2 linked regions of the Astyanax mexicanus genome follow. The protein of the gene in region 1 purifies or fractionates together with the protein of each later gene. This does not show direct contact. Links are inferred from orthologs where the notes say so. Each region holds a gene or a part of one and is shown on either strand. Other genes may lie near its edges.

Region 1 (8,528 bases):
TAGTCAGTTAGCTGGTCTAGGTGCTGGGGGTTAGTTAGCTGATCTAGGTGTGGGGGTTAGTTAGTTAGGTGGTCTAGGCGCTGGGGTTAGTTAGTTAGCTGGTTTAGGTGTGGGGGTTAGTTAGTTAGGTGGTCTAGGCACTGGGGTTAGTTAGTTAGCTGGTCTAGGTGCGGGGGTTAGTTAGTTAGCTGGTCTAGGCGCGGGGGTTAGTTAGTTAGCTGGTCTAGGCGCGGGGGTTAGTTAGTTAGCTGGTCTAGGCGCGGGGGTTAGTTAGTTAGCTGGTCTAGGCGCGGGGGTTAGTTAGTTAGCTGGTCTAGGCGCGGGGGTTAGTTAGTTAGCTGGTCTAGGCGCTGGGGTTAGTTAGTTAGCTGGTCTAGGCGCTGGGGCTGGTTAGTTAGTTAGTTATATAGCTGGTCTAGGTGCTGGGGTTAGTTAGTTAGCTGGTCTAGGTGCTGGGGTTAGTTAGCTGGTCTAGGTGCGGGGGTTAGTTAGTTAGTTCGGTGGTCTAGGCGCTGGGGTTAGTTAGTTAGTCTAGGCGCTGGGGTTAGTTAGTTAGCTGGTCTAGGCGCTGGGGTTAGTTAGTTAGGTGGTCTAGGTGCAGGGGTTAGTTAGTTAGGTGGTCTAGGTGCAGGGGTTAGTTAGTTAGTCTAGGCGCTGGGGTTAGTTAGTTAGCTGGTCTAGGCGCTGGGGTTAGTTAGTTAGCTGGTCTAGGTGCAGGGGTTAGTTAGTTAGGTGGTCAAGGCGCTGGGGTTAGTTAGTTAGCTGGGGTTAGTTAGCTGGTCTAGGCGCTGGGGTTAGTTAGTTAGCTGGTCTGGGCGCAGGGGCTGGTTAGTTAGTTAGTTATATAGTTGGTCTAGGCGCTGGGGTTAGTTAGCTGGTCTAGGCGCTGGGGTTAGTTAGTTAGCCGGTCTGGGCGCAGGGGCTGGTTAGTTAGTTAGTTATATAGTTGGTCTAGGTGCTGGGGTTAGTTAGTTATATTTGGTCTAGGTGCTGCGGTTAGTTAGTTAGTTATATAGTTGGTCTAGGCGCTGGGGTTAGTTAGCTGGTCTGGGCGCAGGGGCTGGTTAGTTAGTTAGTTAGTTAGTTAGTTAGTTAGTTAGTTATATAGTTGGTCTAGGCGCTGGGGTTAGTTAGTAAGCTGGTCTAGGCGCTGGGGTTAGTTAGTTATCTGGTCTAGGCGCTGGGGTTAGTTATTTATATTTGGCATAGGCGCTGGGGTTAGTTAGTTAGTTAGTTAGCTGGTCTAGGCGCTGGGGTTAGTTATTTATATTTGGCCTAGGTGCTGGGGTTAGTTAGTTAGTTAGCTGGTCTAGGCGCTGGGGTTAGTTAGTTAGTTAGCTGGTCTAGGCGCTGGGGTTAGTTAGTTAGTTAGTTAGCTGGTCTAGGCGCTGGGGTTAGTTATTTATATTTGGCCTAGGTGCTGGGGTTAGTTAGTTAGTTAGCTGGTCTAGGCGCTGGGGTTAGTTAGTTAGTTAGCTGGTCTAGGCGCTGGGGTTAGTTAGTTAGTTAGCTGGTCTAGGCGCTGGGGTTAGTTAGTTAGTTAGCTGGTCTAGGCGCTGAGGTTAGTAGGTTAGCTGGTCTAGACGCTGGGATTAGTTAGTTATATACGTTAGTTAGTTATATTTGGTCTAGGCGCTGGGGTTAGTTAGCTGGGATTAGCGGGCTGAACTCACCATCCGATGGTCGGTCTCTCCTTTTTCTTGAGCTTCTTCTTCTGATTCTTTCGGTTTTTGTTGTAATCGAACGTGTTGCGTTTGCTGGCCCGTTTAACCATCGCTGCGAGTTTTAAACAGCAGATTAATTAAACCCTAAATAAACAGTAACACACTCTCTCACTCTCTCGCACACACGTGTTGTGTTTGGGTGCAGGAGAAGCGGAAACGAGCCTCGGCTTCTTCCCCAGAGCTGAGAGCGGCCAGTCCGACTGAGAGTCGCCCTCTACAGAACAGAACCAAGAATACACGCTATTATAAACAAAAAAATATTTTATTAAGCTTGAGCATTTATACATACAGCTCTGGAAAAAAATATGATATATATGATATATATCTGATTTTCCTATTTATAGGTTTATGTTTGAGTAAAATGAACATTGTTGTTTCACACATACACAACTTTTACACAGAATATTGTCAAACAAGAAGCTATACTTCAAAATATGACATTATCGGGTTTATTATGTAAAGTAACATTCATTATGATAATACAAAATACAATTATACAAAATAAGTTACTAAAGTAAGTTATAAAACACTACAAATTACTATGAATATTTTACTAATACTAAACTCAGACCTTCAGATTATTAATTATTATATTACCAGAATAACATTTTCTCAATGTGATTTTGACAAGTCATACATGTTAGCATTTATTTAGATGGAATCTATTTGTAATAAAAAATAATCTATAATAATTTTTTTACTACTTACATTTTTTTCCAGACACAGATAAATACATAATTTATATAACTTATTTTTTACCTGTAGAAATTAATTCTGACAAATGAAAAATTATTCCAGATATCATAAAATGTTAGATTTTTTTGTATTAGTTAACTATTTTAAATATTTACTCAACTTAACCAGACGGCATTGCAAGCGCAGGAAAAAAACTGTATCAAATGTGCAAAAAAGTACTTTAAAGTGAAAGTCAGGATTTGTCTATATTTGTAAAAATGTATTTATTCATAGCAAATATTTAATAATGTATAATATATTGTTACATGTTAGTGTTTGCATGAAATGTAAATAACTATGCTGCAAAACAAAAAGAACACGTTATATTAATATTGACCCAGAGGTGACTTCTTTGGTATTCTTGGTGTAATTTCATGCTAAGACGGCTTGTCATACACACCCTTCCTGTTTCTCTCAGTTTTCGTTCATGCATATAATCAAGTTTGAAAAAAGAAGAGCCTTTTTTCCGCGGGTGAGATGACTGAAGCGCTTCTTCCACTGTTCCTGTAGATGGCGCTGTTCGTCAAAATAAGGCGGAAATATGTCTGTAGGGAATTTATAGTTTATCCTTGTGTTGGAAAAAAACAACTAAAAATAAATTCTGCACACAGGTTTAAGTTTCTCAATATAATTTTTGATGATCAGCATTTATTTAACATTTTATATTTAATATAAAATGTTAATAAAAACCTCCTCAAAATACAGAGTAGCAGATAAGACAGTTACAGTTTGAATAATTATAACAATAGCATAATAAATACAGTAATTATAAAAACAAAGATGCACAAAAACTGCTAGTACCTTTACAGAGGTGATTGATCATTTGGACATGGAATTTTTGCCACTTTTTAAAATACTGATTAGACTTCCCTATCAGCCTGAAAGAGCGTATTTCATAGCAGGCCACTATATTTACTTATTGTTTAGTACCATTCACTTAAAGTGGGAGTCTGAGATGTCTAGTATGAACATGTTTAAAGAGTTCAGAAATCAATATTTGGTGCAGTAACCCTGTTTTTTTATTTTAGTTTCCATGCATCTTGGCATGTTCTCCTCCACCAGTCTTAAACACTGCTTTTGAATAATTTTATGCCACTCCTGGTGCAGAAATTCAAGCAGTTAAGCTTGGTTTGATGGCTGTGGTCATTCATCTTCCTTTCTGGTAAACCTAAAGGAATAAATTATTTTTAAGTTGTCTCTTTTTTTCCCAGACCTGTATACGTATGAACAAACATGCAAATAAACACAACAAACAATATTGAGTAATAATGATTATTGATTATATCAAATATTATTGAGGTCATGCCCATTTATTGTATGATTATTCAATAATGTAATTATTGTGACAGGCCTATTAACATATGTTTGCAGCAAAAAAACTGAATTAAATTAAATTAAAACTTAAAAAAAGAACTATTTGGTTTGTAGTCTAATTACATGTTTTGCTGTTTTTCTGTACGTTATTCTTGTTCAGTGAGAACAATCTAGTCTGTTTTGGGCTTGAAAAATGTAGTAAAATCCAGTTCCAGTTTCTGAGTTTCTGAGGGCCAGTTATAGAAAGGCAAAGGACCATAGAACATGGCCCATGGACCATAAAATGCCTAGGTCCATCTTTGCATATATACAGTGCCTTTAAAAATATGCATACCTCTTAAACCATTCCACAGTTACACCCACAAACTTAAATGTATTTTACTGGGATTTTATGTGACAGACCAACACAAAGTGGTTGTGAAGTGAAAAGAAAATGATACATAAGGTTTACAATTTTTAATAAATACAAATATGTAAAGTATGGTGTACATTTGTATTCAGACCCAGCAGCTTCTGTCACAGCTAAACAAAACAGCATCCCCACAGCATGATGCTGCCACCACCATGTTTCATGGTGGGGATGGTGTGTGTTCAGGGTGTTCAGGGTGCGGTGTTGGTTTTCCGCCGCCCATAGCGCTTTGCATTTAGGCCAAAAGTTCAACATCTGATCTGATCACGTTCTTCCACATATTTGCTGTACCGCCTACATGACTTGAGGCAAATTGTAAACGATACTATTTGTGGCTTTCTTTCCCATAAAAATCAGATTTGTGGAGTACATGACTTCTCCCATCAGAAAACCTTGATCTCTGCAGCATCGCAAGAGTGACCATGGGTATCTTGGCTGCTTATCAAATTAGAGCTCTCCTTACCTGGGCTGTCAGATTAGGCTACATTCACATTACCATGCTCAAATCTGATTTTTTGCTCAATGTGGCTCAGATCTGATTTTTTCATGGCTGTGTGAACCTGCCAAATCTGTTTTTTTTTTTTACAATTAAATTCGAGTAACATTCATATGTGGTCCTAAATCGGTTACGTGTCTGATCCACGTACATGCCACATGAACGGTCAAATCGGTATTCGTTCATCTTTTTGCTGAATTTGCCTTGTAATGTAAACGTATAGCCATATCCTTAGATGGATAGACATGTCAATGTCTGCATTTGTGCCATACTCCTTCCATTTTAAAATGTTGTTCAAGGTACAGGAGGCTGAATATACATGCATGCCACCTTTTTCAGATTTTTCTTTGTTAATGAAAACTATGTACAATTTGTTCACTTTACATGTACGTTACATTTTCAAGTGTACTGTGTATATCCTATATATCTGTTTGTATGTACTCTAGTTACTAGCTATTAGGTTATGTGTGTGTGTGCGTGTGTCTACAGTACAGCAGCAGCACTCTGCGCAGGAAAATGAGGAAATAGCGAGTCCGGCGCAACTGAGCTGTTGACAGGAGAGCGAGTGACAGGAGAGAGAGAGAGGTAGACTGGGAGAGAGAGAGAGAGAGAGAGATAGAGAGAGAGGTAGAGTAAAAATAAAGAAAGAAAAGGAAAAAAGAGAAAGAACTGCTGCTGCTGCCGCTGTCGTGTTCACGTGTAGGTGGGGTTCACTGGTAAACAAGCCGGTAGAGGAACCGACGAAGCGCTTTTGGGGCGGAGAGTCGGAGAGCGAAAGAGAGAGAGAGAGAGAGAGAGAGAGAGAGAGAGAGAGAGAGAGAGAGGGGAGAGGGAGAGAGAGATAGAAAGAGAAAGAGAGAGAGAGAGAACGAGAGAAAGAGAGAGAGAGTCATCCAAGGTTCGCCTGCTCCGCCGAGGGGGGGAGTGGGGGAGGACACACTCACTCACTGCCAACCCAGGCGGGCGACGAGGTTGGGCCTGCAGCCCAGGAAAACATGGAGCTCGAGAATATCGTGGCCAACACCGTTCTCCTGAAGGCGAGGGAAGGTAAGCGGAGCGCTTCACACTCACAGCGGCTTCCCTGCTCCTCCAGGAAAGGGCTCATCTTCGCTCGGATCGCGGGAGGAGGAGGCGGCGGAGGAGGAGGAGGAGGAGGAGAAGGAAGAGGAGGAGGAGGAGGAGGAGAGGGGGGATTCCCCGAGGAAGCAAGGGAGCAAGCAAGCAAGCCTACAGACAGAAAGATAGGTTAGATAGATAGATAGCTAAGGGCTCCAGGAGACCATAAATTCATACATCCACCTGTTCTCCTTTTTTATGATAGACGCAAAAAAAGAAAAGAAAGGCCACAGAGACAGAGATAGCCTGTGCTGTTTTTTGGTAGCTTGGCTGGCGGAACTGCTGCTTCTGCTCCTGCCTAGTTAGGTTAGCTAACCTTGAACATGACCAAGCTCGCCTAGCTGTAAAGATGGACCTGTCAGAGGAGCAGCAGTCACCGCGGCAGTCACCCACCATTCAGCTGTCATTTAGCCAGCTAGCTAGCTAGATAGGTTAGATTGGTAGGTTAGCTAGTTAGCTTAGCTAACTAAAAGCCACCCAAACAGCCTCAGCTTTTGCCAGAATGGGCAGAAAATGTGTGTGTGTGTGTGTGTGTGTGCGTGTGCAGGATCGTGATTTAGTGGGTCGTGGCCAGAACAGCACAGCAGCGCAGGAAGGGAGCGAGCAGATGTTGGTTGGTGCTGAGATAACAGACATAAGGTGATGGTGGTGATTGTGTCAGAGCTAGCTAGCTAACCTAGCGTTAACGAGCTAGCTAACGTAGCTTCAGAGTGGGACAAGGGCCAGGCAGCAGCTGCTTTGGAGGAGATAATACAGTTTATTATAAAACCTAAAGTTAGCTAAATAGCAGCTATTTAGCAGGTGGATAGCAAGCTAGTTAACTAGTTATCTAGACACAGAGTTGGGAAAGGGCCAGGTAACAGCTGCTTTGGAGTAGATAATACGGTTGTCATGGAACCTAAAGCTAGCTAAGCTAACTAAGCTAGATAACCAGCTATTCAGCAGGTGGATAGCAAGCTAGCTAGTTAGCTAACTAGCTAACCAGCTATTCAGCAGGTGAATGGCAAGCTAGTTAATTAGGTAGCAAACTAGATACAGAATTGGAAAAGAACCAGGTAACAGCTGCTTTGGAGGAGATAATTCAGTTGTCATGTAACTTAACCTAAAGCTAGCTAAGCTAACCAGCTATTCAGCAGGTGCATATCAAGCTAGTTAACTAGTCAGCTAGTCACAGAGTGGGAAAAGGGCCAGACAACAGCTGCTTTGGAGGAGATAATTCGTTTGTCATGTAACATAAAGCTATCTAAGCTAACTAGCTATCCAGCAGCTATTCAGCAGGTGGATAGCAAGCTAGTTAACTAAAGTTAGTTAGGTAGATACAGAGTAGGGAAAGGGCCAGCCAACAGTTGCTTTTGAGCAGATATTACGGTTGTCATGTAACCTAAAGCTAGCTGTGCTAGTTAACTTGCTATCTAACCACCTGTTCAGAAGCTGGATAGCTAGCTATTTAACTAGTTAGCTAGACACAGAGTGGGGAAAGGGCCAGGCAGCGGCTTTGGTGGAGACTGCTAGCTAACCTAGCTAGTTAACTAGCTATGCTATCTAGGTTAGCTAGCTTGGGTAACTTCTCTGGATGTTAGGCTAGCTAGCTAAATAGTTAGGGTTAGTTAGCTACATTTTCCTGTAACCTGGGCGAATACGTGTGTTTTCACCTGCTTACGCTAACTAGCACGTGCCCATTTTTTGTTCCCTCTAACAGGGTTGTTAATAGAAATGTTAACCCAGCTAGTTTTAACAGTTAGCTATTTAACGTTAGTTGGGGTTTGGCTGGTGGTGTAGGCTTGGGTAAAGTAGCTTAAGAGGATGTAAAATAGCCCAAAAGTCTCATGATGAGACTGGTTCGACTTAAGCTAGTTTCTTCTTTTTTGAGGTTTAAACTAGCCCAGCTACCAGTGATGTGACCGGTTAGCTAAATTAGTTTCCTTTGTCTGCTTTCATTAAAAGTTAATTAATCTTTTAGTTAACCCTGTTAACCTAACTAGCTAATGGACTGATGCTGCTTTATAGTCGTTAGTTAGCTAGCTAGTTTAAGTACTAGTTGGCTAACTTGGGTAATGCTGGCTGGTTAGTCATGGAGACACAAGCACACATTTCCTGTCTTTTTTTTTTTTTTTTTTTTTTTACAAAATATGTCTCTCTCTCTGTGTTCTCCCATTATCTGCTTTCATCACATCCTCTTTCTTAACCCGCATTCGTTGCGAGAGTATATTTCACACTAGCCGAGGTTTGGGCTGTTCAGCTGCTTTTGACAACTCAGCTCTCAAGCTCAGTCTTAAGAAGTCAAGCCAGTTGAAGAAGTGCAGGTCACCACCAGCAATTTCTGTGAATTTCAGTTGAAATGGCTGTTAAGTGATATTTCCTAGGTACAAAGATGCTTAAAAGCCTTCAGCAAGAATAGACTGTTTCTGCATCATTGTAATCTAAAGCCTTTTTATCTACTGGTGGTGCGACAAATAGTGGACATAAATGTCCTTAAATTGACATGAAAATGTGTCGGCTCCAAATTTCATTGTTGATTAATTGTTAATTAATCAAAACGTTGTTGGTCATTAGGCTGGAAATAATTACAAAACCATATCTGAAGTTCTTGGACTCTTTGCATTGTTTGCAAATGGAGTAAATTCTTTATTCATTATTACCCTCCAAAGACGTGGTCCGTCAACAAAGAGCAAGGCTTGTAATAGTCTGTGAGGTCACAAAAAGACCCAAGGCAACCTCTAAGCAACTCTAAGTC
Region 2 (8,079 bases), on another chromosome or scaffold:
TCTTCCTCGTCATCTGAACCCACATCCTCAATCTTGGGCTTGTCCTCTCCCTCCTCCTCTTCCTTCTCCTCCTTCTCAGCCTTTTCTTCTTCAGCCTCATCATCGCTGATCTCCTTGTCTCTCTCCTTCTCCACCTGTAGGACAATTAAGTTTCATTAGTCATTGATTTTTACTTAATTTGCATAGAATTTAACTAACCAAGAAAACAGATGGCTAACACTTTACACCTAATGTGTATGAAGTGCAACACGAACTGCAAAACACTTACATAGAGGGTGATTGGATACCCAATGAACTGAGAGTGCTTCTTGACAACCTCCTTCACGCGCTTGTCTTCGATGTATTCAGTCTGATCTTCCTTGAGGTGAAGGATGACCTTAGTTCCACGACCAATGGGCTCACCTGTAAACAAAACACGGGGGTAAGATACACATGCACATACTAAGGTTAAGCAAAATACAGTTATTTTTAAAGTCTCAATGTAATTTGCTTGCTGTTCTTTACAGTTTACTGTATTTTGCTTGGATGCCATTAACAAAAATTCACCCCCCCCCCCTTCATCCAAATAATCAAGGAGTAATTTAGGCAAGTTTCCAAAACTTACCATTATCAACTTTGACTGTGAAAGAGCCACCAGCAGAGGACTCCCAGGCATACTGCTCATCATCATTGTGCTTGGTAATCACTACCACCTTCTCAGCAACCAGGTAAGCAGAGTAGAAGCCCACACCAAACTGTCCAATCATGGAGATATCTGCACCAGCCTGAAACAAAGGGGGAAAAAATGAATATATATGCAGTCAAACTAAAGTTTTAATCTAGGTAAATGTGATTTGATTAAACCATTTGTAGGCAACATACTTAATATACAGCAAAAACTAATGGATTTCATTTAGAACACCTCATTTGTTTACCTGAAGAGCTTCCATGAAGGCTTTGGTCCCTGACTTGGCAATGGTACCCAAGTTATTGATGAGATCAGCCTTAGTCATACCAATTCCAGTGTCCACAAGGGTCAGCGTGCGCTCAAGCTTGTTGGGAATGATGTCAATCTTCAGGTCCTTCCCACTGTCTAGTTTAGATGGATCAGTCAGACTTTCATATCGGATTTTGTCAAGGGCCTATAAGGAAGAGGGAGAGGTGATTTTTTTTTTTTTTTTAAATGTAAAAAATCTAAAATGTTTAGCTTCCATCAACAAACACTCAACCTTAGCATTAATATCTGTTAGAAATATTTTCTGCAGCCAAAGTATTACAGTACTCGATGACTAACATTACACTTACTGAATATATTATGGTACAAGCTTATATAGTAAAACATTTTTCTTCGTAATATACACCAACTGATTATGAATAATTCTGTATAAAATTGCAATTCCCTAGCCTTGACAATAATAAAAATCTGGCCACTGGTGTTAACATATAGCATAACTATTTTATAAATATAGCTGCATTATGCATTATTTTTTTGTGCATTTTATAAAGCGCTAAAGTAAATTAAAAATAAATTTTAAATTCTGTATGTACAAACTTCACAGAATCCACCTATTGTTTTCAGTGTTCTATTAAATTCAACTTGCTTTAATAAATAAATCAAATAAATAAAAAATATTAAATCAACACTAGCACTTACATCAGAGGCGTTGGAAATAAGCTCCCTGAGGAAGATCTCTTTGTTGGAATAGAAGGTGTTAATGATGAGGGACATCAGCTGAGCGATCTCTGCCTGGAAGGCAAAGGTCTCAGCCTCCTCCTCTTGGCGCATTTCTTCAGGCATCTGGAGAAGAGAAATAACACTGAGTCACACCACCTTAAAGATATTCCTCACTTTCTGTTTCAGTTCAGTTTCCGCATAGCGAACAGCTCCAAGTGACTCGGGGTATTAACTTGGAAGATCTTTTTTCTAACTGTAGTCTGTGGGGAAAAAACCCTACCGAATTCTTTTAAGATTTAGAGGATTATAACAGTGTAAGTGACAGACTATCACTGAACAGAACTTTTGTTAGAATCATAGACTAATTTTAAAACTTACGTATTTAACGTCATAAATACCGTTATGGAGTATGGATTAGAAAACTATTTACTCCTAAATGGATTTTTTTTGTTTGGAACTGCTTCGATAAAAACTCTGAACTCGTCTAAAGCCTGAACTGAAGTTGCTCTTGACCGCCCCCATTCAATTACCCAACATGGCGTAACCGGACCAGCGTACAATGGAGGAGACACGTGCTTGACGAAGAAAGCCGAGAGCCGGAAAACTCCGAGTTTTATATTTATGTTCTGGCTTTTACTAGGAGAGATCACGTTAATTTAAACTAAAAATACGGCCATTAGACAGTTAACTTAGTGAGTTTACACGATTTAAAGTGTGATTAAAGTGTAAGTTACATTAGACACGAATGGAGAAACCGGTCCTTCAAGCCGGAGCACATGGCTTTTAGCTAACGTTCAGATCTTACACGCGGATTTAAAACAGAATTTATTGGTGTTTTGTGGCTGAAAATTGGCATTTTAGCGTTCCATGTAACTTCATTAGCTTATTGATTAGATTGGCTAAGCTGGGTTAGCTAAATCGTCAGTTAGCTAGTTAGCTAGCGCGTGTTTAGGCTGGTTGGCCTGAAATTAAGTTAACGCTAGTTAGCTTAGCGTTAACTAGCAGATAGAGAAGCTAACGCTGTACGGCTCATATAATTAGAGTTACGGTTAATGTTCAGGGGCCTATTATTTCACCTACATTAGTGAACGCCATTATATAACAGAAGTAATAGTTAACTAGGTTAGCTAGCTAGCTAACCAAGCTGTATTACTGAAGCCTCATCACGACTATAGAAACAGTAACCTTCCACCCGTCAGCTAAATCCACCGTTAACTAGCGCTAGCTTAACTCCCCCGGCCCGAGCGCTGCACCTGCTGAAAGAACGGGTAACCACAGCTCATCACGACGAATCCCAACTCACTAACTAATTTACTAAAATAAACACCCAAATAAACCTGTCAGAGGTCGTGTCTCACCAGAATCACGATAAACTAAGCGAGTTTAAGTGTTTTTGGCCGGTGAGCGGAGCTGAAACGCTGAGCTCCGCCGGTCTGTAGTTTCAGTTAACGCTGCTCCGAGTCTTTGTTAGCGGCTCTCCTCCACAGCCGTTCATCTGTCTAAATAAACACAATGAGGCCGCAACACTGCCGGGTTTATCGTTTTAAAGAAGAGAACACGAGACTCAACCGCGTCGTGTGAACGGGAGAACTCACCTTGATTAGTTTCGGTGATTTCTCTTGAAATAAATGCTGCCAAACCCTTCAGATCTCCTCCAACAGTGATGCTGCGCCGCAGCAGCGTATCTTTATGTAACCGTCGAACATGCGGCGTATCACTCCGCGGGCTGGGCTGGGTCTACGCTGGGTCTACACTGTGTTCTGTTTGCACTGGGCAAAGTTAACCTTTCTAATGATGATGTTAATAGACATTAGAATAGACATGTTTATTGTTATAGTATACATTCTGAATAAATAAACGTTCTGTTGAAAAATAAATGTGCTGTTATAATCGCACACATTAATTTTTTAATTCAGATTATCCACTTGCCTGTTATAGTAATGTAAACAACTGTATATTTGTAGTTTATATATTAATATCTTATTCACATTTAACTGCAAATTTATATGTGTGAAGTGTCAGTCAAATGTTTTGAATTGTTTGACTGTATTTCCTTAATAAAATTGAATGTTTTGGGATATTAGCCTGTGTACTAGCTTTGCATCATTTCAGTTTATTTCCCAATCATAATGACACATTTACAAAAGCTGCGTTTTAGCTGGAAGCTGGTTTCAGTTAGTCAATATGGTTGAATCAGGTAAAATCCTATGCTGGCCGTGCATGTCAACTAGCTTGGCTTTGCTATACAATAAAGTTTCCCAGCCTAGTCTTTGACAATATGTTCCTTTCAGTGTAGAATCTCTATTCAAAATGCTGTGTAGTCCAAGACTAGGTTTAATCCAGGTTCGGAAAACTGCTAAAAAAATGGTAAAAATCTAAATCTAAGCTGTTTTAAAATCGTGCCTTTTTAATGGGTCGGAGGTTATGCCCCTGCCTTGATGTCTTACTGCCTTATGTCAACAGCTAGTTCCTTAAGTTGCAATAGTGTTATTTATTAGCATTTTTCACCCAACAAACTACACCTGAAGATGGTAATGATGCCATACTTAATTTCAGACATTCAGGGTGCCTTCCTGTTTTCTCATTCCCTTGTTTCTGGTCAGGGTCATCTGGACCGCAGGCCAGTACCACACACTTTCGTTCATGATTTGGCATACCCAGTTCACCTATGATGTTTTGGAGGTGAGCAGCAACTCTGTCAGTTTTGCTGTTTACCTTTAAAAGGTTTGAACCCACAACGACAGGGTCCATGATACCCGCCATACAGACACTATGTTCTCAGCCACACTGTGCCACCTGAACACAAGTAAACATTAATACTTTTATACACCCATATAGGCAGTTCTCCAGTATTACAAAATAAAAGTTGTTCAAACATAAAATGTTTGTCATGCTTATGTAATATTAAACAATAATTTCTATAACATTAAAAATACCATATCTCTGTCTTTGAGTTTTGCCTTACACACAGACACATCAGCCTATTTGGTCTTTATATAAGGTTCAAGCTCCCAATTGCAGCCATCTACACATTGGACCTGTCAACAGGAGATTGTTGGTTGATCCCCTGTGATGCTACAGCCAGAGAAACACAATTTTCCAAATTGTGTTAGCCTGTACAGGTTCTTTTAGTTAATATAACATAAATAGTTAGTTAGTGTCCTCTTTCTCAGAAGCAGTTTTTCATGTATTCAATACTAATACAAAAAGTGTAATTTACTGTTGAGAAATTGACATTAAGAGGGCTAATCCTAATAGAGAGCATGCCAGACATTATATGAATAATATTCTATTATTAGCTATATTTTATTGCAGCAGACCAGTGCCACCCAAACATTCTCCACTTGGACTGGACTTAAATATAAATAAATAATAAATAAGCACAATTATATATCATACATAACACACATCTAAACATCTGTCTGATATGGTTCTGAAATCATGGTCAGTCCTTTCCAACCAACCAGGGTTGTTTCTTGCAACGTTCCTAAACAGGCCTGCTGGTTGCTTTCCTTTTAAATTCATATCTATTGTGGATACTGGGACACACAGTTACTATTTTTTTTTTGGCTCTAACAAAAAAAAAATAGATTTCCCCTCCCTTAACCTTCGCCACCCTGGGTATGGTTTGGTCCACTCCCTAAACCATAAGAGGGGATCTTAATGGTATAACAGCTCTCATTGGATGTGCAACATAATTGCCAACTTTTTTAATTTACTTATTTATTCCTGCATCTTTACTTCAGGTCAGAAGTTATCTTATAATGTGTCAGCTACTATTTTAGTACTACTATATTAGTGTCCATACGTAGGACTGTTTAAAAAAAATAATTTTCATATAACATAATAATAATAATAAAGCATTGATAACCCTGTGTTAAGATGCATGGAAATGTCTACTTTAATATTTATAAATAACATATAAAGAGCAGCTATTATCCACACATTATCGATTTATGATTACAATACTATAAATTATATAAGATCTGCAGTAAATTAAATATACCCCACTCTGTACAGCATGAGATTCACCTAGGCTAAATAATATGAGTGGTTAGACTGAACGAATAGTAATAATATATATTTTTGGAAGTAATATTCTTGTATTGTCTTATTTAATACTAAATAACTAAGGGGTGGCACGCAAGAAACGATTAAACGCACAAAAGAAGCGAAGGATCCGCTGCACTCGTTTTTGTCACGGAGGGATATCAGCGCTCCGAGGCGGCGGTGCTTCGGCTCTTTCTAGCACTTTCCATGAAAAACCCGCCTAAAAGTGACGTCACGCAGCCGTCAGGAACACGCGTCTCTCCGGCGCAACTTCCAGATTTACCGACTTAAAAGTTCCTCACCGAGGAGGAAAATAAACTCCTAATAAAATAACGCCTAGTTATAAAAGAGTTCCCTACCTGAACTTGGACCTCATCATCTCATAAATATTCAAGTGACACCAAAAAAACGAATTAATGCTTCAAAATCACACAATATTTTATTTTAATATTTTTATGTGTATTAATATATTGTCTCACAGAGGGGAACAACAATACGCATTTTCCTGTGAGATAATATAAGATGAGGTCAAAATTAAATAAATTATTTATATCTCTAATGCGTTAAAATACACATATCTGTTGTTTATTTATACGTTATTTGATTTAAAAAGGCAACTTTTATTTTGAAGAAAATTATTGCAAATTAAACTCTAGTATAATAGTATAATGTATAGTATAATGATTCTAATAGTCATTATAAAACTGCACCACAGCTGTAAACAATACAATAATACATTGAAAGAGCGGTCCAAATGCCTAGATTTGCATGTTGACTGTTGGTTTCTGTAAACAATGCAAGCTGAGAAATACTTGGTACATAGCAAGGGGTCAGATAAATGCAGTGGTGTGAAAAAAGTGTTTGCTTCCCTCATATTTTTAATTTTGTGCATGTTTGTCACTTTTAAATGTTTCAGATCATAAAACTAATTTAAATATTACCCAACAAAAAACAAGTAAACACAAAATGCAGTTTTTGAAAAACGTTAATGTTTTTAATAATAAGGGAGAAAAACTGAAGGCCAGACATCTCCTTCAGGATTTTTGTTAGATGGCAGAATTCTTGGTTCCATTTATCACAGCAAAACTTCCAGGACCTGAAGCAGCAAAAAAGCCCCAAACTACCACCACCATGTTTCACTGTAGGTATGATTTTTTTCTTATGCTGTGTTACTTTTACGCCAAATTCTCTTGCAAATTTAAGATGAGCATTAATGTTCTTTTTGCTCAGCAGTCATTTTTGTCTTGGCACTTTGCCATGCAGGTCATTTTTTCCTTTTTTATGGTGAAGTTATGAACGCTGACCTTAACTGAGGCAAATGAGGCCAGCAGTTTGAGGTATGAAATCTCTAAACTTTTGAGTATCTATTGGTCTTCTTGGCTTTGTCAGGCAGGTCTTATTTAAGTGATTTCTTGATTGAAAACAGGTGTGACAGTAATTAGACCTGGGTGAAGCTTTAGAAATTGAACACAGATGTAATAAACCACAGTTAAGTTATGTTTTATTGATAAAAACTTTCATTCAAACAACACGTTATGTTTACTTGTTTAATTAATCTTGTTTACCTTATAATTTTACATACATTTTAAACTCTATTTATAAAATACAGTACAGTGGTAAATATAAGGATTATTATTGAAATGTATAACATATTTTTTCTGACTAATTTCAGTGACTGATTTGTTCAGGGTTAAATGCTGTGGGTTTTTTAATCTGCAGACAACTTGAGCACTTTGATCAACTATTTATTAATGCTATTAATTATTTCATACTCTAAAATGATTGCATTGTGTGGGTGTGGTCTTGAACTAGCATGTTCATAAAGTGAACTTGTTTTTTACATGCAGGGGTTTTTCACTATAGCCTCACAGGCATAAAGGTAAAGTGCTTGATTGAGAACAGGTGTGACAGTAATTAGACCTGCGTGAAGCTCCAGAAATTGAACGCATAGCATATGATGCACACTAGCACATATGCAGTACTCTCTTAGGTACACCATGAGAAACATTTATTGCTTCGTAATAGCCAAAAGCAGCTGCCTTAAAATACATCCTTTCTACCTCACCTAATTTACTCTTGCAACACAAATGGGCAAATATGACTGCTGTTCATTAATCTGGAACACAAATGCTGTAGATTGTAGATTGACTCTGGTCATGCATGGAAGCTAAAAGAACAAATTATAAATACATCACACACTTTTGCTCTTTGAGCAGTGCCCTTGTGAAAATTAATAAATTGTGCTTGTTTATGTGTGAGACACACACAGTAGTCATACACATACTACCCATATGCCTCTGGAACTGTTTAAAGGTGACATGAGGTGACATCAACGATAAGCACCCTGTCCAAAACAGCCCTGTTGAGGATTGTCA

What was found.
Region 2: the proteins of grk6 (region 1) and hsp90ab1 purify together in Homo sapiens (affinity purification with mass spectrometry; 3 studies listed by BioGRID and IntAct, with this or other methods). This does not show direct contact. The link is inferred for Astyanax mexicanus from reciprocal best matches to the Homo sapiens genes GRK6 and HSP90AB1.

The regions. Positions count from the first base shown.
Region 1 is NC_064424.1:17,667,246-17,675,773, reverse strand, and holds the start of grk6 (G protein-coupled receptor kinase 6), read left to right. Parts: upstream 1-5,202; 5' UTR 5,203-5,673; coding exon 5,674-5,725; intron 5,726-8,528. Other genes in the region: nop16 (nucleolar protein 16), read right to left, coding at 1,674-1,774.
Region 2 is NC_064408.1:85,811,149-85,819,227, reverse strand, and holds the start of hsp90ab1 (heat shock protein HSP 90-beta), read right to left. Parts: upstream 3,383-8,079; 5' UTR 3,250-3,382; intron 1,778-3,249; coding exon 1,634-1,777; intron 1,122-1,633; coding exon 915-1,121; intron 765-914; coding exon 605-764; intron 403-604; coding exon 269-402; intron 135-268; coding exon 1-134. UniProt on the Homo sapiens protein: Molecular chaperone that promotes the maturation, structural maintenance and proper regulation of specific target proteins involved for instance in cell cycle control and signal transduction. Undergoes a functional cycle linked to its ATPase activity.